4 linked regions of the Arabidopsis thaliana genome follow. The protein of the gene in region 1 interacts with the protein of each later gene in a pairwise test. Each region holds a gene or a part of one and is shown in the gene's direction. Other genes may lie near its edges. The genes, in order: AT2G46550, EDA14, ATG8F and PPT2.

The links.
Region 2: the proteins of AT2G46550 (region 1) and EDA14 interact in a two-hybrid assay, tested with the Arabidopsis thaliana proteins (one large-scale study listed by BioGRID).
Region 3: the proteins of AT2G46550 (region 1) and ATG8F interact in a two-hybrid assay, tested with the Arabidopsis thaliana proteins (one large-scale study listed by BioGRID).
Region 4: the proteins of AT2G46550 (region 1) and PPT2 interact in a two-hybrid assay, tested with the Arabidopsis thaliana proteins (one large-scale study listed by BioGRID).

Annotation. Positions count from the first base shown.
Region 1 is NC_003071.7:19,111,088-19,117,252, reverse strand, and holds AT2G46550 (uncharacterized protein), read left to right. Parts: upstream 1-3,046; 5' UTR 3,047-3,261; intron 3,262-3,780; 5' UTR 3,781-3,795; coding exon 3,796-4,989; 3' UTR 4,990-5,292; downstream 5,293-6,165. Other genes in the region: AT2G46560 (transducin family protein / WD-40 repeat family protein), read left to right, coding at 44-217, 326-549, 710-843, 944-1,165, 1,256-1,434, 1,573-1,683; AT2G46540 (fiber), read left to right, coding at 5,572-5,650, 6,013-6,095.
Region 2 is NC_003074.8:22,310,859-22,316,937, reverse strand, and holds EDA14 (embryo sac development arrest 14), read left to right. Parts: upstream 1-2,510; 5' UTR 2,511-2,710; intron 2,711-2,916; 5' UTR 2,917-2,935; coding exon 2,936-2,991; intron 2,992-3,076; coding exon 3,077-3,167; intron 3,168-3,353; coding exon 3,354-3,445; intron 3,446-3,566; coding exon 3,567-3,660; intron 3,661-3,753; coding exon 3,754-3,833; intron 3,834-4,023; coding exon 4,024-4,104; intron 4,105-4,187; coding exon 4,188-4,287; intron 4,288-4,368; coding exon 4,369-4,461; 3' UTR 4,462-4,680; downstream 4,681-6,079. Other genes in the region: AT3G60380 (cotton fiber protein), read left to right, coding at 1-25; AT3G60370 (FKBP-like peptidyl-prolyl cis-trans isomerase family protein), read left to right, coding at 318-453, 561-636, 720-904, 1,018-1,127, 1,257-1,365, 1,480-1,556, 1,816-1,938.
Region 3 is NC_003075.7:9,304,908-9,311,045, reverse strand, and holds ATG8F (Ubiquitin-like superfamily protein), read left to right. Parts: upstream 1-2,507; 5' UTR 2,508-2,700; exon of another isoform or gene 2,701-2,921; 5' UTR 2,922-2,932; coding exon 2,933-2,969; intron 2,970-3,063; coding exon 3,064-3,119; exon of another isoform or gene 3,120-3,556; coding exon of another isoform or gene 3,557-3,649; coding exon 3,650-3,702; intron 3,703-3,793; coding exon 3,794-3,912; intron 3,913-4,063; coding exon 4,064-4,164; 3' UTR 4,165-4,707; downstream 4,708-6,138. Other genes in the region: RGF6 (root meristem growth factor), read left to right, coding at 5,217-5,660. UniProt on the Arabidopsis thaliana protein: Ubiquitin-like modifier involved in autophagosomes formation. May mediate the delivery of the autophagosomes to the vacuole via the microtubule cytoskeleton.
Region 4 is NC_003074.8:215,914-221,764, reverse strand, and holds PPT2 (phosphoenolpyruvate (pep)/phosphate translocator 2), read left to right. Parts: upstream 1-2,628; 5' UTR 2,629-2,908; coding exon 2,909-3,205; intron 3,206-3,316; coding exon 3,317-3,439; intron 3,440-3,507; coding exon 3,508-3,660; intron 3,661-3,768; coding exon 3,769-3,854; intron 3,855-3,955; coding exon 3,956-4,037; intron 4,038-4,124; coding exon 4,125-4,244; intron 4,245-4,328; coding exon 4,329-4,406; intron 4,407-4,513; coding exon 4,514-4,643; intron 4,644-4,735; coding exon 4,736-4,818; 3' UTR 4,819-4,960; downstream 4,961-5,851. Other genes in the region: AT3G01560 (proline-rich receptor-like kinase, putative (DUF1421)), read right to left, coding at 58-1,002, 1,171-1,452, 1,573-1,881; DRH1 (DEAD box RNA helicase 1), read left to right, coding at 5,623-5,851. UniProt on the Arabidopsis thaliana protein: Phosphoenolpyruvate/phosphate translocator that transports phosphoenolpyruvate (PEP), 2-phosphoglycerate and 3-phosphoglycerate.

The DNA of each region.
Region 1 (6,165 bases):
CCAAATGTATATTTTCTCATAACATTAAATAAAATTCACGTAGATCCGCCGGTGGTTAGGAGTCTCTGGTCTAGGTTGGGAAACTCAAGAAGAATTTGAAGAGTTTGTTGATCCTCCCCCAACAGTTGAAAGTGTTATTACGAGAGCATTCTCTAATCACCCGACAATGCCCCTCTTCTTGGTTGGCTCAAGCAACACTCACATATACTTGTGGGAGGTTTGTGCCTAAACACTTGCACCATCTGTTTTAGGAGTTCGGAGTAAATGATATGACATTTCTTATCTATCCTTGTGGATCTTATAATGCAAACCTTGCATGTTACAGTTTGGAAACGAAAGAGCTACTGCAACTTATGGTGTTCTTCCTGCTGCAAATGTTTCCCCTCCTTATGCTTTGGCGTCGATATCAGCAGTGCAATTCGGTCCATTCGGACACAGATTTGCTAGCGCTGCACTGGATGGAACTGTATGCACTTGGCAATCAGAAGTTGGAGGAAGGAGCAATATTCATCCTGTTGAATCATCTCTTTGCTTCAATGGCCATGCATCGTACGTTTCATGATCCTTGAGTCTATAAGTTCTTGTTCACTAATATGCTAAAAACACATAAGTTTTAAATTATTGCTGTCAGTCATGAAAATTACCATTATTTCTCTGTTTCTTGTTCTATTGGCTTCAGCTATTCTGTTTCTGTTATTTATGGTTGCAGAGATGTAGGATATATTAGTTCGAGTGGATCCATTGTTGCAGCTTCAGGATATAGCTCAAGTGGTGCAAATGTCGTTGTGTGGGATACTCTAGCTCCCCCTTCAACCTCCCAGGCATCTATCAATTGCCATGAAGGTCCTCCAATAATTTTTTTTGTAGAAGTGTTAGTATCATTTCCCATAATCACAACTCTTAACAAGTTTTTTTTTTGTTTTGTCCCTTTTCTTCTATGAAGGTGGTGCACGCTCTATCTCGGTATTTGATAATGACATTGGTAGTGGTTCAATTTCTCCTATGATTGTGACTGGTGGCAAAAATGGTGATGTCGGTTTGCACGATTTCCGGTTTATTGCAACCGGAAAGATGAAGAAGCAAAGGAACCCTGACGGTGGATCTTCGACTGATGGAGATCAAAACAAGAATGGGATGCTTTGGTATATACCAAAGGCTCACTTAGGTGCACACCCTAAAGCCTATTTTCACCTTCATATTCCAATTTTACCGGAAAAATATCCTGAAATTTGATTGACATTGATGCAAATTTCAGGGAGTGTGACAAAAATAGCGACAATCCCACGCACAAGTCTTTTCTTGACGGGAAGCAAAGACGGAGAAGTAAAACTTTGGGATGCGAAAGCTGCAAAGTTGATTCATCATTGGCCTAAACTACACGAAAGACACACTTTTCTGCAGCCAAACTCGAGAGGCTACGGTGGAATCATCCGGGTTAGTGAACCAAATCACCTAAAGCATAATCCTTTCATCGTATTTTCTCACAGTGGCTTTGGTTTCTTAGTAAACCAGAATCAAAGTAATGTCGGTGTATGTAATCGAATTTGGGTATGTGTTACGAATTTGGTGTAGGCTGGGGTGACTGACATACAAGTTTGTCCGAATGGATTTATAACGTGTGGTGGTGATGGCACGGTGAAGTTCGTCAGCCTCGTAGATTCTTCCTATGGCGATGCTAAATAAAAAGAAGATACATTTTCCGGGAAAGTTTTGCAGTCGAGAAAACGAGTTATTGCTACCTTGCGTGTGTTTATTGAATACGTGATTTTTTGTGATGTAGTTTTTTTCTCTATATGGTTTAATATTTGTGTATATACAAATATATTAAAGATTATGAAGCAGTAGAATCTTGAGTTGACCATAATCCAGATTTTAATTTATCTTTGACTTGACTTCAATCTATACTCGGAAATATCATCTATTTATCTTTGACATAGTTTTCGTTGACTTTGTTGCATCAGATTTAGACCAGATTAAATCGGACTGATTCCAATTAGATTGGTGTTAAGTGTAGTGCAATAGAACCGAAAATAAACATTATCAAGATTTAGTTCGTTATTGTAATTTTTTTTCTTTCTTTTTGGTGTTGGTTTGGTATTAGCTCGATATAGTTTAATAAGATTATGAAAAATTGACGGCTAGGAACCTGGCCACTATCGTATTACGTAGTGGAATATTATCTTATGGTTGATTATTAAACTGCTCCATAATTTGTGTTGTAGTCTTGTAGACGAAATGATATGAATCATCAAAATGTTTGATTAAAACCCCATTTGCCAAGAATTATTCCTAAAACTATTAAGTTAAGGCAAAGGTCCATTTCATTAATAATTATTCTAAAGAAGTTAGTTGTATATATAGTATATATATAGACTATGGTGTTAATTATGACTGAATATATTAGTGCTCACATAAAGCATCTTATTAGAATATCTTAGATTGCTTAAATAATTATTAACCACGTAATAAATAAATCTCATGTAACACTATCAATTGGAGAATAATGGAGAGAGACAATTAACCATAATGACTTGAAGACACTTGGCTTCACCTAACATTCAATTTCCTAGACGAGGCCACTATTTACATTCTCTTTACCTAACTTTCAGAACTACATTAAACCAAATTGACATGTAAAAAACCTAATTTTATATTTTCAACATGTCTATTTACCATTGGCCACTTTATTACTTAAATGAAAACGATGTCATAAAAAATATTAGTAGACCCTAACTTGAAATTTAAAATTTAATCGATCATTTAAAAATCAAAATCATTCGACGCAATTACTACAAGATTTTTATGTTTTAACCAAACATTTATGACGTAATCTACCATCGCGCGTAATCGTATAGTGATAACTGATAAGATAAAAGGTCTTATCCGTTAAAAAAGGAAAGGGAAGCCTTTTTTAGATCTTCTTTTTTGTCGCCACGTGTAATTAATATCTAATCGAACGGCTGTCAGGTGAAATCTATGGGCAAATCTGTGGACTCAAATACTCATTAACATAACTATGGGTCCTCTCAGAAAACGGTGCCGTTTTGCGGAAGCTTGCGTGCTGAATGACACAGAGACTAAGAAAACGATAATAAACTGCAAAATGATTCAAAAGATTTTAATCGAAAGCAAACAAAAATTCTCTGACAATCAGAAAACAAAAAAAAATCAGAACAACTCTTATCTTCTTCACGAGACTGACTAAACAATCATAGATTTTTCCGTTTTTTGGGTTTCGTCTGGTGTTACTCTCTCCTTCTGGTTAGTTCTTTTTTTCCGAATTCTTACAAATTATTGCGGTTTCATTAAGATGAATTATGATTTGGATCACCATCCGTTGTTTTTGTGTCCGGTTTTGATTCTTAGGTCTAATCGCGTTTCATGTTTTTTTTTTGTGTTCTTCTGGGTTTGATAATTTTATAGTTGAAGTTTTATGAAATTTGATTTCAATTGCAAATAATGATGATTTGTTTAGTAAGTTGATAAATTGACAAAGAATCTGGCTTTGGTTTTTGTTTGCTTCTAAGAAAATTAGGAACTAATTCTTCAATTTACCTGGAAAGCAAAACATATCAGATTCTCTAAAAAGTAGTTTTGTAATAAGCTTTTTTGGTGATGGATCTGTCGGCAATCAGAAAGATTCTTCCTTTGAAATAAATGATTCATATTATTTTTCCTATAAATAGATTCAAAACGGTTAATAAGATTTTGCTAAATCTACCTAATTTCTAAATCACATTGATCTTGAATTGAATTCTCAGTCTCTTGTCTTATCTTTAGAGTTATGGTGAAATAATGGCAGCAGCTGAAGCAAGAGCAGTGTGGCAAAGAACAGTTAATCGTTGCTTTGTCCAAGAAGACGCTAAAAGAGCTCCCAAGTTAACTTATTGCCAATCATCTTCATCCTCAACTGCTTCTTCAACTAAGCAAGTGGAAGTTTCTGGTTCTTCTCCTCGAGTTTCTGTTGAACCACGGACTCAATCATCTTGTGCAGGTTTCATGCCTCTTCCTCGAAACCCGAATTTCCCTGATCTGTTACCCCACAACACCAGACTGTGGAGTCATCCTCATCATCAGTTTCAGGTGAATAAGAAGCAGCCATTGGAGGATGAGGTTAACAATCAAGGTGTATCTGAGAAGAAGTCTGAATTGGGAGCTGGAGAGAAACAAGGAAAGTCTTTTAATTCCGAAAGCTTTCAAGAGTTTATAGAGTTGATGGAGACAAGGGAGAGTTATGGTTCAACTGGGTATGATGAGTCCTCTGAGAAAAAGTTAAGTGAGCTCTCTTTTGATCCTAGCTCGCCGTGGAATCTTCTCTCGAGTGAGAAAGCTGCACCGTGGTGGCGAACTACGGATAAAGACGAGTTAGCTTCCTTGGTTGCACAAAGATCTCTAGACTATGTTGAGAATTGTGATTTACCAACACCGCAGAAGATGAAACGATCTTATTATGGTAGTCCACGTGGTTTTGATTCTGATGGATTGAGAGACTACTCTGTCTCTGGCCAAACCATCAAGGGTACAAGCAAAGGAAGCAGCTGCAAGAACAGACCCGAGGCTTCATCTGAGTCTGATTTAAGCAAATCCGAGCTTCTAGAAGCACTGAGGCGTTCGCAAACGCGGGCTAGGGAAGCGGAGAATATGGCTAAAGAAGCTTATGCAGAGAAAGAGCACTTGGTGAAGATATTGTTGAAGCAAGCCGCAGAGCTTTTTGGGTATAAGCAATGGTTACAACTGCTTCAGCTAGAAGCACTTTACCTCCAAATCAAGAACAAGGAGATTGACAATAAGAACAACGACGATCCAGGGGTTTCCATCCCTTGTTGGAGCAATGGCAAAGCAAGAAAAGAGGGGAGAAAGAGAAGAAGCAAAAGGGGTAAACCGAATGGAGCAAAGTACGCGGTTGGTTTAGCATTGGGGATGAGTCTTGTTGGTGCTGGTTTGCTTCTTGGATGGACTGTTGGATGGATGCAGATGCTATCGTTCTAGTTTAAAGAGAAGAAAAGAGACAAAACTTCATCTTTTTTCTCATTGAACAGCTTGATGATGTTGAAATGAGTTAAAAGATTGGCTTCGAATCAGCTTTTGGATTTCGTTAAGGAGAGAATGTAAATTGTTGTAAGAATTTTGTTAATATTGTGTTTACTAGTTTGATCTTTTCCTTCAAAAATCATATGAAATTATCTTCTTTAATGTGTAAGTAAGTATCTTTCATGTTCATGTAATATCTGCATATATTAACTACTGTACAGTGTATATGATCTTTCTTTCATGTTCCTAGAGCTTCGATTTCTTGAAAATTTAAAATACTTAGTAATTTTTTACTGCTGGAAGCAGAATGAGAAAGAGAAAGATATACAGTATATATATTTTTTAATTACGGCAAAGGTGATTATAATGGGCCGAATTGCGAACATTTGGGCCCAGTAACCCGACCCGACCGGAGATGATCTTTAATTTCGTTTCAGGTGAGAAAATGGTTTACTCAGGAGCAACTATCAATCGAATCAGACATTGACGAGGAGCTTTGGTCGTAATCCGAGGAAGAGATTAAAATCGGAAAGTGCGAAAATGCCGGTCATGGAGAAATTGAGGATGTTCGTGGCGCAGGAACCAGTTGTGGCTGCTTCTTGCTTAATCGGCGGTGTTGGTATGAACCCTAATCTCAATCTTAATTCCTCACCGATCGATCGCATTCTCTTTCTTAGAAAAGGATTTGCTTTGGGATTTATCTAGTTTCTGGAATTCCTCTTTGAATCTATAGAGCTAGTTTGCTCGATTGTAATTTGAGAATATAGAGAAATGCCTGATCCAAATCTCTCTATTCGGAATCGTCATTTCTTTGGGTTGTCAAAGAGAGTGTATTTTAAGGAGTTGAAATTAAGCTTAATTTGGAACCATGTCTTCCATTATCTCCATGTATAAGTAGCAAAAGATTATGTCTTTCTTGAACATTAGCAAAAGGCAATTGTGTTAATATACATTTGCTGATGGATTCTCTTCATCTTGTAGGACTATTTTTGCCTGCGGTTGTGAGGCCTATTCTAGACTCTCTCGAGGCTTCCAAACAAGTTAAAGCTCCTCCACTTACCGATGTATGTATTAGAATATATTTATCTCTGTGGAAATTCCTTTTGCTGCTAAAATCGTCATCTATTTCCTATC
Region 2 (6,079 bases), on another chromosome or scaffold:
TTTCAGAAACAGCCAATTCAGATGACACTCACCACCATTTATTGCCTCATTACTTGTATTAATATTGTAATTTTAATTCATCGGCATTGTTGATGAGAATCTGGTTGTCACTCTCTTTGTTTGAAGTTTATATTGTTGAATAAAAATGAACTTTTAACCTTATTAAATTTTGCTCGGAGTCATTGTCCAAAAATACCAAGTTGGTTAAGAGTCCACAAGACCACAAGTAAAGTTTTCGTCAACTTTGTTTGACCAATGACCACACGGATAAATTGGTAACAAAAGGAATTGTGGGTCCAAATTATAATAAACTGAAAATGGATGGTGTAAAATGTAATTTATCTACAAAATTAAACTTTAGGATAAACATTGGATTTTTGCAGGAATCGCCGGAGGGAGAAGCAATGGTGACGATTCTATCAACTCCTCTCTCTCCAAGACTTACATTTCTCTGTGAGTTCTTCCCTCTATCTCTCAAAACTCTTATTGATCTTACGATTCAGTAAGCTGGTTCCATAAGACTAGTTAAGTGACCAAAACTGTTCCATAAAATCTTATAGGTGAAACAAAACTGTCATTATCTCGGAGCAATCGCTCGGTATGTTGTTCATTGAGTGAAGAACCAAAAGACCAATGGTAAAATTTGCAATCTTGAGAGATAATTTTTTTTCCTTTTTTTGGTTTGATTCTGGAGATAAAGCTTGGTCTTTTAATTGCAGCTTGAGTCGGAGAAGTCTTGTTTATGTTTTAGTTGCTTCGCCGTGTTTGTTGTTACCAGCGTTGTCTTCATCTGCGAAGACTAAATCAAAGAGTCCTTATGATGAGAGACGGTTACTAGAACAGAACAAGAGGATACAGAGAGAGAACAATGCTCCTGACGAGTTTCCTAACTTTGTTAGAGAAGGTTTAAGCTTTTATTCACTGTTTCTTTGAGTATTATTCATTCTTGAGTGGAAGAAGAATATGAGAACTTATTGTCCTTTTGTTTGTGTTTATGTTTTTGCTGATATAGTGCAGGTTTTGAGGTTAAGGTATTAGCTTCTGATAATTACATCAAGGCTGATTCTGGCCTCATATATCGGGATTTCAATGTTGGTCAAGGTGATTTCCCAAAAGATGGTCAGCAGGTACTACTTCCTCTATGTTAGATTAGTTAAACTTAGGATCTGAAGTTAGATCATTTATGGAATTGGTATGCTCTTTACTTGGATATATAGAATTGAAGATATCATTGAGTTTTATGGTTATTTTGACAGGTGACTTTTCACTACATTGGCTACAATGAGTCTGGAAGGCGAATAGATAGTACTTACATACAAGGTTCTCCTGCTAGAATCCGCATGGGAACCAATGCACTTGTTCCAGGCAAGTAGAAGACATTAACTTGGCTCTTTAGTAGTAGGATGTTAATGAAGAATCTTCTTTGACAGGAAACACATATTGAAGATTTTTAATACTATATGGATAATGATGATGCAGGATTTGAAATGGGAATTCGTGACATGAAGCCCGGTGGGCGAAGAAGGATTATAATCCCTCCAGAATTGGGACCTCCGGTTAGTGTTCTTACTTGTTCCTTACAAGTATACACTTGTCTGAACTGTAAACCTGACTAGTGGTAAACTTTTGCTGAGCCATTCCGTTGAATATACCATCCCTCTATCAACAATGTTTCAAATGGAATTACTAGCTTGAGCATGCTCGTTTAGGGACATATCTAAACCAATGTAGATTAGACTTGTACTGTGTAAAAACTGTCTTCACTTTGGTTCGATCATATTTTTGACAAAACAAAGTTCATTGGGCTCTAACCAGGTGGGACCTTCGACCTTCTTCAGCTCGAAGCAATTTGAAGTTTTCGACGTGGAGTTGCTCAGTATCCAGAATTGTGAGAGGAGGACTATAATAGGTTTCTACTCAGATGTCACATGCAGTTAACTTCCAAATGATGGTCATCACTAAGCTTCAATGAACCTGCATTCTTCAATCTTCAATACTCTAAATCTGCACGGCAGATGAGAACTACAAAGAAACAAAAAGAACAATTATTCTTTGCTTAGGCATTTATCTTGTGGGTTTCATGTAGAGATGCACAATTACATAGAGAGACAGATAAAGATCATGTAAAGTCTCGACCTTTTTCATAATCGTAGTTTACTTTTGTTGCTTTGTTGATCACGTTTTAAGCGTTTGGAGCTTTTTGATATCTTCTGTCTCTCTGTATCTGTGCGTTTGTCAAGTTAAAGCAATGCATTGTTTCGTTAGTTTTATAATTTCTACCCCAAATTTTGGCACTCTTTATGAAACACCCCAAACAAATAATAAATTGTACAAAGATACATTGAAATTTGGAACGGTAGATGTGCAATGCTCATCACATTTGGAAAGTTAATTACGAAATTTTCATCTAAAGACGTTAAGACATTTTATGTGTGGAAACTATAATTTGCAAGTAAAGCAACTAAAACGATAAAAAGGGTAAATGAGTAATTGCGACGTATCCACTAAACCCTTAGTCTCAGCTAGAAGGTTCGGTTTGAGTTTTCTTTATCCCCAAAAAACCCTAAACTCTTCTTCTCGCCGACTTCTCTACTCCTTTCCAGAAACCAAGTTTCAGGTCATCGGTGAAATTTGTTGTGTTCCCGGCGACTTCTACTTTTCACCTTTCTTCTCGGCGTCGTCTAATTTCTAGGGTTCCCCTGTATTTCACGTGAGAATCTTTGGCTTCTTTTTTTCTTTCGTTTCGTCTGTTCGAATGCATAGTTAGGTTTAGACTTGAGAATGTTGCATTGTTGGATTAGATTCATACTTCAGATTAGGGTTTCAGTTTCAATTCGTTAAGTTGATGAGCTCGAGTAGCTTAAGATCATCTTTAAGCTCTCTTAATTCTAAACAGTTTTGTGACTGAAATTGCAGCGTCAAGAGCAAATCCAACATGTCGTCGCTGCGTAATGCTATTCCACGGCCTGCTCATAAGGAGCGATCTCAACCGTAAGCTATTATTGCTCTCAGGTGTCCTTTTTGTTCTTTTCTTCGTTTCTCTTCTTAAAGTTTGGATTTTTAAACGTATCATCAGGGAAGCGAGGAAGAGGTTTGGCATCCTCGAGAAGCATAAGGATTATATTATCCGAGCTAATGCTTATCACAAAAAGCAGGAAACTTTAAAGGTAACTATTACACTCTCTGTTTTCAATTCCATCTCTCCTATGATTATACTGTCGAGATTATGTTAATAAAGTCTTTCAAGTAGACATTTGTTAGTTTACGGGATTGATTGATGATATCTGTGAGATAGCTAAGAAACTAAATCGTTGGGAGTTCAGTTTCTCTTACACCGTTTTACTTTACTGCAGATACTTAGGCAGAAGGCTGCATTCAAGAATCCAGATGAATTCAACTTTAAGATGATTAATAGTAAAACAGTTGATGGACGTCATAGACCAAAGTAAGCATATCGAAACTCTTCGTTTTCTTCTTTTTGCTTTTCACTATTATCTCTTTTGCTATTCTCATGGTTTCTCGTTTTCTTCTTGGTTTGTAAATTTTGACAAAGTTATTGTTTTCAGAGATGAGGTAAATAAATACTCTGCGGAAGAGCTTATGATTATGAAGACTCAAGATATTGGATATGTGTTCCAAAAATGGCAGAGTGAGAAAAACGTAAGTTATCTTTCCTCATACACACCCCAAGAGCTTTCTGCTTACGATCATATTTATCCAGTTTTTCTCTTTGTTCCTTCTTATCTTTTGTAGAAAATTGACAAGCTGACTGCATCGCTGCAATGTACTGGGGATCAGTCAAGCCGTAGACATGTTTACTATGCAGAAGACAGGTTAATCCCAACTTTTAGTCCTTTCTTTACTTGGTGTAGCTTTCGTGATTTTCTCATTCATTTTGAATGTGTCATATGGACACTGCAAAATTTGATCCTCCTTACCTTAACATTTAAAAGACATTACCGGTACCACATTGTTTGTGTTTTCTTATAATCTTCTTTTTTAACTCTGTTGTTCCTTTATCAGAGAGGAGGCTAGAGAACTGGAGGTACAAGGTAGAAGCAAAAGTGATATCTCTACAGTAGAGATTCCGAAAGATATTAAAAAGTATGTATCTGAAATGAATTAGATGTTTTCAAAGGTATCAAACGGACAATCAATAGTCATTGTATTCTATTTTCTTAAAACAGGAAAATGGATAGGTCCTATAGAGACCTCGAGGGGCGGAAGAGCAGGGCTAAAGATTTGGAGAAGTTATACACGGATATGTCAATGCAGAAGGAGTTACAGGTTATCATCAGTCCCCCGAACACATTACTGTTTCTTGGTATGCAACTAGACCATCTCTGATTAAACTCTTTTAATGGACAGAAAAAGGGTCGCAAACGGAAGCTGCGTGATGACGAGCTGCTCAATCCAAATGGTAAAGCGGTATACAAATGGCGCGCCGATAGAAAACGCTGAAGAGAAAAGCTTTCATGGTTGTGTAGCTTGACATCATTTTTCTGATCTCTATTAAAGTTTATATAGCAGGCAGTTTTATTATAGTTTTTTTGATCTCCAGAACCTGCAGAACTTTACATACAATTTTGGATGGGACAATATCTGTTTACTTTAAGCTCTTTGTTGCGTATCTGGAAAAGTTTTACTAATGTGATTGACGAAATATAAACACATGAATCCAAAATAGAAGATTGAAGACTTCAAAATTTTACCACTAAGATAAAGTTCGGTATACACAAAAAGACTGTTTGTAAATAGCAAATAATGGGCCCTTTTCTTTCTGATTGGCTTTTACCAAAAATACGCAAATCTTACTCAGCTTTTAAATTTTGGTTTTTGTTTAAGTTTTAGATTTTGTTACTTAAAAGACTCAAAAAATATTGGTTCAGCCTTTTTAATTTATTATTTATTTACTCTTATGTAAAGAGAGAAAGAAAACAAAAAGCAATGGGACTTTAAATGATTTGGTACAATTGCTGTTTTAGTACAAGTTTAAATTTGGAATCAAATCCTAACTTATAAAGAAAAACAGCCATCTTTGGCATATAACACAAATGCACTGGCTTATGATATTTGCTATTTCTACTAAAAAACAATTAGTCTTAAATAATTTCAGAAAACATTATAAAGTCATTTTAATTAAAGGCATAAGACACAAATGTTACCCCTATGTTTATGATATGCGTTATTAGTTCCAATTTTTCAGAAACCTATTAATTGTCTATATAAAATAAACTTATAATTAATTATGTTTAGCCAAAAGATTTAAAGTATATAACATTTTAAAATTATTGATAAAAAATAAAATGACTAACTAAAAGAAAGAAAGATATGATACACCACTTTTCTGTATCTCAATATAAACACGCTAAATTTTACGGATTATCCGTTAAATTTGTTATATTTTCAACTATAATTCAAATAAATTTTAATATAATATACATATAAATGTGCAAAAATTCTGTTAATACTAATCAAGTAGTTTTCATAACAAGTCATCGTGAATTATTTACATACTAATATATCACAAGAAAAACGTTTATCGTAATTTAGAACACTGGTTAGAACAATAATTATTTATCAAATTGTTTTTTAAAAAATGACAAAAATAAAAGTTAGGATTTAAAAAAGAGAAGAAAAGAGGAATGGTAATTGGGTAATATATAATGTACCGTGCAAAGGAGGTGATTGAAGCTCTTTGTTACAATTACAATGCCTATATGAGCTGTGGTTTCAACATCCGCCCTTCTCGTCTCTCTCTCTTTACCTTCATTGCCCAATTCCTCTAATTCTTCCTCCTTTCTCTGTCTCTCGGAATCAGGGAAGATAAAGTTCTTCCTTTTTTCTCCAAAGGTGATTACTTTAAGCTCTTTTGCCCTTTTTTTTTTCGTGTCACAACAGTTTCTCTGTGGGCTCGTCTGAATTCTCTCCGACCATCATCACTCTTTCAATTGTTATTTCCAATGGAGTTTGTCTGAATTGAATTTGCATAGTAAAGGTCAGAGATTTGTTTAAGTCTCTCCTCGCTTTTCTGTTCGAGGGTTTTTCTTCTCAGAATCCGGCGAGAGCATTCCTCAGT
Region 3 (6,138 bases), on another chromosome or scaffold:
TTTAAATGAGGTTTGGTTTCTCTCTCACCAATGTATCACCCAATTTGGATGTTTTTAAGGGGTAAATTTCAACTAAAATGTAGTCCAAGTTATTAATGTTTTGGTAGAATTAATCGAAATTAGAGACATCAGAACAGCTAACATCAATTTGGATTTTTTTTTTGTTCGACCCTAACAGTAAAAACCATTCATCAGTGTGGTAAATGTCGAAAATGTATTACGATTAGAATTGATACATTCATCAGTTTGGTCAAAAACACCTATCTTCGATCGATATTTTTTTTACCAAAACGAAGTTGATGTAAATTGTTGGTTGCAAGTTGAGTTCTGACCAATAAAATTGGTAGAAATTCTTTGACCATTTGTAAATTGTTGGTTGCATGTTTATACTGAATTAAACATTTGCTTCGAATATTTTAGACCAATAAAAATGGTAGAAATATTTTGATCGGTTGACATTTTTGACCGAGAATAGTGGTCGAAAACATCTTACCAAAAAGTGGTCAAAACTTAATGACCAAAATAATGGTGAATATTATTTTTTACCAATTTTCGACCATATATTTCAATCTGACTAACTTATATACAAGATTGGAATATAAGTATAAATCAAAATTCAATTTAATTCTTAAATATTTGATTCATAATAACTTAATAAAAATAAAAATATAATTTAAAATACACAAAAAAACAATACTTTTATACAAGAAATCAATTTTAAAATTATTTGATTAACAAATTTTAAAAATATTTGAGTTTTTGTTTTCCTTAACAAAGTTACCATGTGACTAATATATCTCTCCAATCTTAAGAGTTGGAGTTTGAAACTCTTCTTAACAGAAAAACTCTTTCATGAATGCGGTAAATCTGGAGCTACATGTATAGGTATGTGGAATGCATTTATATCAACCTTAGGCACAAATAGTGAATGCTTCAAAGCAATCCAAGTCTTTGAGAACATTCCTTCCACCTTGATCAAAACTCACTCAACATTTTGGAACGTGATGGTAACTTGTACACATGCTCGACAAACTGAGTATGGGCATTATCTTCTTGCAAGGATAGTCAAGACTCTATGGATAGAACCAACTATTGAAATAATGGGGACATATTTAGACGGCTTGGCTAGAGGAAAAGTGATTGATGAGGCATAACGAGTTGTCAAGACTTTGATTTTCAAGCCTAACTAGGAGATTGCTGTGAGTCTTTTATCAAAGTACAAAAGCCATTCAACACCCATTGAGTTTGCTAAACGTTTTGTGAGGTACCTTGAAGAGAAGAAAGTCACCTTCTACATTGCTGGAACGACTTATAAGGTACTAGACGAAGATGGGGTGGAGTGGAAATCTAATGTCAAGATTAAGAAACAGAAGAAAGGAAAATCCACAATCCACTCCCATTAGAGCAGTTCAAAGTACTATATATTGCTGCACAGCTAAATCATTCGTCAAAGGCATTTCTTAACCATGCTATTTGACCTGAGGTTACGAGAGTAAGGATATAATTGTATTGATTGTTTTGAAACAGTGAAATAAACATGAAAAAGTGCAGTGAAATAAACATGAAAAAGTGCATACTCCCACATATGTGCCCCATATGCTCTAACAAACTTGATAAGTGTCATACGTAGTGAGATACCCTTATATTTTTTTTAGCTTTTTATATACTATTGCTTACAAACCTTATTAATATAGTTAAATAATTAGGGTGGGCATCGGTTTGGATTAAGTAATGATTTTGGATAATGATTAAAAAATAATTTTGATTTTTTTTTCAACTTCAGAAAACTCAATCTTAACTTTTAAAAATGTTTATGTCTTTTCACAACTATAATATTTTATATCTATAAGTAAAAAACTTGTTAGAAAACTTATCTTACTTTGATAAAAGATTCATTTTGATTAATTATCTTTGTTATCCTGTAAATTCTCGGTTTTGACATTAATCACTCAATTCCGGTATTTTAATAAATTACAAAATGAGTTTTGTGCAGTGTTGAAGATATATTCTCAAATACAGTAATTGCTTTCAACCCTTGATTTCGAAATGCCTAAGCTTGAAATCCTAAGCTGTCCATACACCAAGACCTACATCTCCAGATCTCTATAACAGTCATAAAAAAACTTCTGCCTATACTTTATTTATTAGTTTTCATATTTCCATCCGTTTATTTGCAAGGCCCATTACTGCACTAGGCCCTACATTTTGTTAGAAGAGGCAAAGCTTATAAGCGACATTCTCAATTTCCAACTATTACCCTTCCGAACTCTTCACCTAACACACATTTTCTAGGGGTAAACGTGTCATATCGTATGCAGAAACGTGATCCCAGCATATCCGGTTCTTCTTTATCCTTTGTTGGAGGCAATATCTACGTAGACAGTTACCTCGTACACCTTCAGTAAAATGGACGGTTGAGATTCCTATTTCAGTAAATAGCTAATATCTACCGTCAGATTCTCACTGAACAGATTAAGCATACAACGTCAGCTGAAGTGTTTAGATGTTACCATACACCATCTGTAGAGAATCTCTGACCTTATCGCATAATTTTTTAATGTTTTGCAGAATTTTTGTAGGTTGCTTATTTGCTTTTTCTTTCATATTTTTTCGTTAATTGTTGTTGTTATCTTCAACGATAGCGTTGTGCTCTGGAGAAGTGTTTGATCGCAGAAAAGCTTCGTTCTTTGTAGTCTACAGGTTTGATCACTGAGTTCTTAACTTCTTTTTTGGTTTGATTGCGATCCTGTACTTTCGTTTAGATTACTTAAAGGTTGGGTCTTTAACATGATCGACTGATAGATTTGTGGGAATTTTGATAATCTGAGTTCCAGAGTTTGGGAATTGATGATTTGATTTGAGTGTTAAATTTGTTTTGATGGTTGTCTGATTGGTGTCACCTATTTGTTATGTGTGTGTAGGCGTGGAAGGAATGGCAAAAAGCTCGTTCAAGCAAGAGCATGACTTAGGTTTGGATTTGAGCTTTGTTCTTGCTTTACTGTTTGGTCCTCGAAATCAAAACCTTGTGCTTTGATCTAATGATCCTGTTTCCTAAATCTTCAGAGAAGAGAAGGGCAGAGGCTGCTAGGATTAGAGAGAAGTATCCTGATAGGATTCCGGTGAGACTTTCAGTGTCTCTCTTATACATTGATCGATCATACATTTCTAAAGTTATATGTGATTAGCATATTGTTTCCCTTTCTATGTTCGGATCAATCTTTTGTGTTTGACTGAGTTTATGCAGGTTAAGTTGTTGTGGTTTATGGCCCAGCAATATGGTAGTAATGAACTTATTGGGATATAATGAACTTATTGGGATAGCATCTGGTTTTAAATGGACACCCTACCCGACTAAAGGATGGTTATCAAGTTATTATTGTTTGATTAGCTTCATGCTTGTGATATATGTTTGCCACTGTTTCAACTACATGGAGTTGATTGAGTTATAGTGACTATAACAACATTAGGACTTTGAATTTAGTTGTCATTTTTTGGAACGTGACTTTCTGAAACTCGATTCTTACTGAGTACTTACGGCTTAGATAAGTAGATTTGCATGATTCATGTGGCTACGTGCTTTATGATTCACATGGTAAAAATGACACTTGAGATGATGATTTCCACGCATTTATATTTTTGTGGGATCCAGGTGATTGTTGAGAAGGCTGAGAAGAGTGATATACCAACCATCGACAAGAAAAAGTAAGCATATAAATGGCATCAGTATCCTTTTCATTCGGACCTGACTTGTTAATAATAGTGATTGATAACTAAGCTTTTTTCAAATTTGCAGGTACCTAGTCCCGGCTGATCTGACTGTGGGGCAGTTTGTGTATGTCATTCGCAAAAGAATCAAATTGAGTGCAGAAAAGGCTATCTTCATATTCGTGGACAATGTTCTTCCTCCAGCAGGTAAACAGATAGATCTCCTCTGTATTCAAGACTCAGGAGTTTCATTATCTTTTAACACAAGTAACAAGAGCATAAGAAGGCGTCTACTTATATGTTCCCCGGTGATTATAAATTCTTTATATTTGGCTGATCTGATCTGGTAACTTTGCAGGTGCGCTCATGTCTTCTGTGTACGAAGAGAAAAAGGATGATGATGGGTTCCTCTATGTCACTTACAGCGGAGAAAACACATTTGGATTTGGATCTCCATAATAGAGACCTCTTGCTGGATATTTCATTTTACTCCTCTCTATTTTCACCAAATATTTCATCTTCTTATTAATTACTAAGCAAGCAAGCCACCTATGTACTTATTCTCTAAGGACCTTTGGTCGGGCGTTAATATGTACAGAAAACATAAAATAATGTATATAATCTTCTTTCAAGGATCTAAAAACCTACTTTAGGTGAATCTATCACATCTCCCTCTTGACTTTGTTGTGTTTTTTTTGATGTCTTCAATCTATAAGCCGACATAACACGTCGCTTATGGCACATGGGCCATGACAGTTCCAAATTGCAAAGCCTAAGTGAAGAGAAGTTATATCACCAAACTCAATAGAAGTGCAAGCACAAGGGAACTGTGCCACGTGGCAGACATGGTCGGTACCGGTTGAAGGTTGGCCGGCGACGATCTTATAAAGGTCCCACATTGTCGTTGACGGAGAGAAGGAGGAGACGGTCGGACCATGCTGGCTTGTTTCTCATCTTACACTTTTCAATATTGATTTTTGTTTCATATATTTATTTGTTCACAGTTTTAGCTCGATTTATGATCGTCAAAGATTGTAATTCAAGGTTCCAACCGGTCACGTGGAACATGAGAGACGCGGTTGTGTTTTTGGGATTTTGGACCATTGAAGTGAAAGTTGAATGTAAAAGCTTTTCATAACTTGTGAGTGTTTTGTCCAAAGAAATCAATGTCAAATAGTGTAGTGATAAGAAGGTGATCGATTAGGACTTAAGAGAGTAAACACGTCGGTCATACAATAATGGCGTGGATGAAAAAGGTGAAGAACCGGAGAATAAGGTGAGCAAATGGAAGAAAGGAAAATGAGAATGCAGGAGATGATGACCCCACGAAGACTCTCAAGTAGACAAAAGGTTTGGCCGATCAAGACACCCATATACATACGATAGATATGTATGTTGAATGTAAAATATATTTGAATAATAGACAAGAGAGAAGATTAAAAAGAAATAAAAGAGAAGAGGAACAAGAGCATGTTATGATAATGAAGGACCCCTCCCCCCACCTGTATTTAATGCTTGTCTTACTCTCTTTACTCTCTTCTGCCTACAAATACTCTCCTTCCCTCTTCTCTTCTCTTACACCAATTAACAACATTTCAAACTTTCTTTGTCCTGCTCTAGTCTCATCTCCCTGTATACAGACACAGCATATATACACAAGTATCTCAAGAACAAGAAGAAGAATAAGAGAAGTCATGTCTTGCTCTTTGAGGAGTGGACTCGTGATAGTGTTCTGTTTCATTCTTCTGCTTTTGTCTTCCAATGTTGGATGTGCCTCTGCCGCTCGTCGTTTAAGGTCACATAAGCATCATCATCACAAGGTTGCTTCTTTGGACGTCTTCAATGGTGGAGAAAGGAGGCGGGCGTTGGGTGGAGTCGAGACAGGGGAAGAAGTAGTAGTCATGGATTATCCTCAGCCTCATCGTAAGCCTCCGATCCACAACGAGAAGTCTTAATTACCCGATCCATATATACCAGTCTCTCTAAATATATCATACTGTTATATGCATATGCATTCACCATGTTGGTGGTTGTAATGACTCTTGTGCTATCTCTATATATATTCATGACCAACTTCTTTGTTCTCTATTTCTCCTCGTATACAACAAACAAGGTGCTTCCTATTAATTACTCTGTTTCTTATGGGTATTGCATAAAAGATTTTCAACATTTGAGAAACAGAATTGTGAAAATTCTTCATTAAGCTTTGAATGTACAAGAGATCTTAAATACAGAAACTAAACCGAGCCTGAAGCTAAATCAACAATAACCAATCTAGAATAATCGACATGTAGACTCAAATAGATCTCTTTGCCGCCATTTTAGCTCCAAGTAGCACGTAACAAAAGTATCATTACAAAGAATACCAATGTGTATAAGAGATAAAAACCTTCATTGAAGCTAAAATCTTAAAGCTAAGCCTAACATTTCATA
Region 4 (5,851 bases), on another chromosome or scaffold:
TGATCCTTAAATCGATAACTGATATAAAGTACTGTACAGAGTTGGCTAAACCGATGGCTACCGACCACCAAAAAAACCTCCAGGTGGAGCTCCTCCTTCGTTCATCAACTTATCCAGAACCACGTTGAGGTCAACAGCTTGGCCGTTTTCAGTCAGTTTTCTCACTGTTGCTCTGACTTGGTCCCTTGGGAATCCCATGGTTGTCACCCTGTCGATTACATCATCGATTGGGGCTCTGCTTTCTGATCTAGGGGAACTAGAGCCACCACCGCTGCTGACGGCTGAAACCATTGGCAAAGCGTGTGGCAATGGACGTGAATTTGAGAGCTGTGGGTAACCAGTTCCATTGCTACTTATATGTGGCGGTTTCGCTGAGGACATTGGTGAACCACTGTATGTGTAAGGTTCAGACAAGTAGCCGGACGGAAAACCTGAATTAGATCTACCACCCGCTCCATCGTACATTGATGGTTGTGGTTGAGGAGGGTTGTAGAACTGTTGAGAAGGGGTAGAACCAGCAGGTGGCTGTTGACGAGGAGGGTTTGGCGGGTAAGATTGCATCTGATATGGTGGTTGTTCTTCGGGGTTGTAGCCTGATGATGGTGGTGGCTGTTGGGGGTACTGTGGCTGCTGAGGCGGTGACTGGTAAGATGGTTGATGCGGCGTTTGGGTCTGAGGAGCTTGGTAAGGAGGCGGGTTTGATGGAGGTGGTTGAGGATGACTAGGCGGAGGACAATACGGCTCTTGTTGAGAAGAAAACTGCGTAGGTAGCTGAGGTGGTAGTTGCGAGGAAGGTGGCTGGGAAGGAGCAGCAGTGGAAGATGGTGGCTGTGGGAAAGAAGTAAGAGGAAACTGCTGCATAGGGACTGGAGCGGGCGATTGAGCAGTGGGATCAACGTGTAAAGAGTGTGTTTTGGCATGCTGGTTGGATACCTGATGCTTTGAAAGCTGAGCTTCGAGAATCTCTTGTTTGTCCTTCAATAGTTGCACACCACTCTGCACCTGCACACCATTCGCATAAAGAAGGAACTGAAGTATCAACAGAAAGTACTATAAGCCTGGTTCAAGAAAAGACATGTTCATAAATGAGAAAATTTCTGTATAAAAAAGATCAATAGTTGCCAGGAAAAGCTATAAATTCTAGTTTCGAAAAGCAATCAGCAAAGTTACCTCTACAAGGATATTTTTAAGCTGTCTCATTTTCCCATCAGTGCTGCCGTGACTATTGTCAACAGAAACTTTGAGATCATCCACCAGGTTCTCGAGGTTGTGGGTTCTGGTCTCCAGCTGTGAAAGACGTGCACTAACACCTTCCATTACATGAAGCAAGGTATCGGTATGTTTCTTCATTGTCCTATCTATAATCTCGGACATAATAGTCGTGTTAAACACATTTTGACCCTTGTCAGGAACCAACTTGGAAGGTTCAATAGAATCGAGAGATCCAAAATTCTGGCCGAATAAAAAAAAACAAATCAATCAGAAATAGACAAGTCCTCTTATAGGCTTATGATGTAGAATCATGTACAAAAAAAAAAAAGAGAGGAAGATTCGAGAAGTAGTAGTAAGTACAGTGTTAGGCGAAGTAGTGGAAACGGGTTTATAATCAGAGGCGGACCAATTAACCCTAGTCGTGGATCCGGCGAGATCTAAAGCCGAGTGAGACAATCGTGCGGCGGTGGTGGGACGTATGGGATGGAAATCATAGCTAGGAACGATCACTTCTTTCTTAGAGTCCAATCCATTATCGCCGATCACCTGCTTCTTCTGGTGATCATCGCCGTCATGATTGTTCATCAGATCGATGAAATCAGTGGAAGGTAGAGATGAAGAAGAAGATAGATCCATTATCTGCTTATCCATAAACTGACAAGTATTCATCGATCCACCCGACAATTTCTCCGACTCCCGAATTTCTTCTTTTCTTTCTAAAACCCCTCAGATCGATTTTTATTTTTTTATTTTTATTTTATTTATGTCATAAAATTGACCAAGTTGCTCATGTCGACGTACCTTCTGATTGGCGTAGAAGGTTATGGACCCTAAATGGGCCGAAATGTATTTAGAATTCAGTTTCCATCCTCTCCGTTTAAAGCCCAAATTGTGATCAATGACCTGTACCAACACTGACATAATAAGTAAATGGTATAATCAATAATGTGATCAAAGCAATGGGACCAACCTTATTTGTAATAGTATGAAATAACACGGAAAGAAAAGGGTGGACTCAGGAGCATACAATACAACATCCACATGTTTCAACGCGGCCCCTTTCATATCATCCATACAATTCTCCCCTGACATTTTCAAATTCCACACTAAAAATCAATTGGTGTTGTGGTCAGTAATTTGTCATGTTCGTACGTAAACTTTATTTTAAATAATTATTTATAGCGTTACCAACTTTTTGATATTATTATAAACGAAGAAAACCACGGCCCCTTTGTAAAGAAATGAGTGACCAAGTATGTCAAATCATTTCCATAACATTATTTACAGAACACACATGGAATGGAGAACATGAGAAGAAACAATACCGGCAAATACCACTGGCTCTTATGAGGAAAGATAAATAAAATCGAGCCAATGTTATATTGAAAAAAATGTCGGCATCGGCATGTGAGTTATTTTTATCATACTCAAAAACATTCAGATAGTAGAACGAGAGAAAAGTCACATAATAAAGACAACTCTTCTAAATAATACTAATATCAAGTTTGCAGTATATCCAAAAACAAAACAAACTTTTTTCTTCTTACATGAAAATGAGGAGGTAGACTCATGTAACATAACTCTTACCAATAGAGGAAGAAGAAAAAGTTAGCAAGAGTCGGTTACTTGTGAGAAATTCCAACAAATGCCGGAGGATTTATGCACATCTTGGAGCATCTGATAAGAGGAAAAAATTATGTTCGCTCTCACATTTCTAAATCCAAATCCAAGACTTCCATCTCCATTGTTCCTTGCCAAGTCTACTCCTGAATCAGCGTTGAGCAGAAGAAGCAGAGCTTTTTCATCTTCTAACTCTTATCCTTGGAGACCGAACCTTAGATTTAATGGCTTCAAGCTCAAGTCAGCTACAGTTCCGGAGAATGTGGAAGGAGGAGATTTGGAATCTGGAAGTTTGGTTAAAGGGTTGAAGCTAGGAGGCATGTTTGGAGTTTGGTACCTTCTCAATATCTACTACAACATTTTCAACAAACAGGTTCCTTCTTTGCTTCATTTAATTAAACAGTCCATTTCAATGCAAGAAGCAGTACTCGAACCTATTATCAGTCTTCATACAAGTATGAAACTTGTTCATTCATCGATCCAGGTACTTAGGGTTTATCCATATCCAGCGACTGTAACAGCATTTCAATTAGGGTGTGGAACGTTGATGATTGCTATAATGTGGCTCCTTAAACTCCATCCACGCCCCAAATTTTCTCCTTCTCAGGTAAATCAAATATTGATTCCGTCAAACCCTAAAAACAGAGAGATTCATTCAATTGTAATCCTCTCCAGTTTACGGTGATCGTACAACTAGCAGTAGCTCACACGTTAGGGAACTTGTTAACAAATGTGAGCTTAGGAAGAGTAAATGTCTCTTTCACCCACACTATCAAAGCAATGGAGCCTTTCTTCACCGTCTTGCTTTCTGTTCTCTTGCTCGGTGAGGTAAGCAAAACAAAGATACGCTCTGTTTCAGACTTAATCTATAACCTTAGATTATACAAGAGAGTTATATTTTCAGACATAATCTTTGAAATTTTGATTAATGTCCAGTGGCCGAGTCTGTGGATTGTTTGTTCGTTGTTACCTATTGTCGCTGGAGTCTCTTTAGCATCTTTCACAGAAGCTTCTTTCAATTGGTATGAACAACAAGAACAAGAACAAAAAAAATAGTATTCTTGATAAACTTTTGATGAAGTTTTAATTGATTTGATTAATTCATGGTATTGGGATAAACCAGGATTGGTTTCTGCAGTGCAATGGCTTCTAATGTGACGAATCAATCACGCAATGTCCTCAGTAAAAAATTCATGGTTGGAAAGGTAAAAGAGTTTGAATATAAGTTATCCTTATGATCTCAAGAAAGAAACTAGTAATCGAAATCTATTAATGTTTGTATATTGAAACAGGACGCTTTGGACAACATCAACCTTTTCTCTATAATAACCATTATCTCCTTTATCTTACTGGTTCCTTTAGCAATCCTCATCGATGGGTTCAAGGTTACTCCTTCGCATTTACAAGTAGCAGTAAGTGGAAAAGCATAAACCGATATAGCTAGATGATCTAAAAGAGAAAGAACTAATGTGTGTTTGTATGTGGTTGCTTGACAGACAAGCCAGGGTTTGTCGGTAAAAGAGTTTTGCATCATGTCTCTACTTGCTGGTGTTTGCTTGCATAGCTACCAACAGGTTGGTCCGTCTAGTTCCTCCGTTTCAGAAAAACTGTACTGAATTTTGTAAAGTCGGTTAGTGTTAGGCTTCTAATCAACACATAAAAATTGGGGTTGTTGTTGTAGGTATCGTATATGATATTGGAGATGGTGTCTCCAGTAACACACTCTGTAGGGAACTGCGTGAAGCGTGTGGTGGTTATTACATCATCCATTCTTTTCTTCAAAACTCCAGTCTCACCTCTTAACTCTATAGGTAAACAACTACTAGTAGTATATATTAGTAAAGGATTTGTTACACTTGTTCATTTTATTGAAGCAATATATAATCACTTGTTAAATAAACAGGTACCGCGACTGCACTAGCTGGAGTATATTTGTACAGCAGAGCCAAACGAGTCCAAGTCAAACCAAATCCAAAAATGTCTTGAATTTTGTATATAGAAGCTCTTAGTTTATTATTTATGCGAAAAATGTTGATATTTTTGTTCATCCATGTCGTTTTTACATGACACTATTAACTTTTGTTAAATTCAACTAATCTCATTAAATAATTCTATTCTTTACATGGAAATTATATAATGGGCCTAGGAATAAAATTGGAGTGGCCCAAAAGGGCCCAAAAGAAGGAGGCGGCTCATTAAGGTGCAGATATTTTTGTTGCGACGATGGATGGTTTTATAAACCTAACTAACAGAGACGGTCTAAAGTTGGACATCCTTGCTTTTGGTCTAACTTTCTCTCTCTTGCTTCTACGCTTCTTCTTGTGGCGTAGATTGTTATAGAGAGGGAAACCAAAAAAGGGAATCTCAAAAGCTCGAGTTCACAGATTTGACCCGAGTCTTTAATCCAATCTGCTGGTTCGTTTTCCACATTCAAACTCGACTCTTGAATATCAAATCAGGTACGCGTTTATCTGTTGACAAAATTCCTCAATCCTGACTTAGATTCCTAGAATTTGGTATTTAAGCTCTCTGTTTCAATTTCTAGTTTCTCTCTAAGATTGCGTCGGTTTGGTCGTGTTTAATTCTGATTTCTGATCGAATCCTTTTATTACGTGTTAGTTTTTTTTTTTATTGTTCGATTTGAATCCAGATCTGTGACTCGATTGCAGTTGGATGCTTTTCTCATTTATGGTTGAATTAATTGAAACCTAAGTCGAGTTTGGTGATGATTTCTGTGGATTACCGATTTGGTTTACTGAATCGCTTTGACATGTTGCAGAAGTCTTTGCTATGGCTGCTACCGCTGCTGCTTCTGTTGTCCGTTACGCACCTGAGGATCATACTCTTCCCAAGCCCTGGAAAGGCCTTATCGATGATAGAACTGGTTACTTGTACTTTTGGAATCCTGAGACCAATGTTACTCAGTACGAGAAACCAACCCCCTCTCTACCTCCTAAGTTTTCTCCCGCCGTTTCTGTTAGCTCTTCCGTTCAGGTTCAACAAACTGATGCCTATGCTC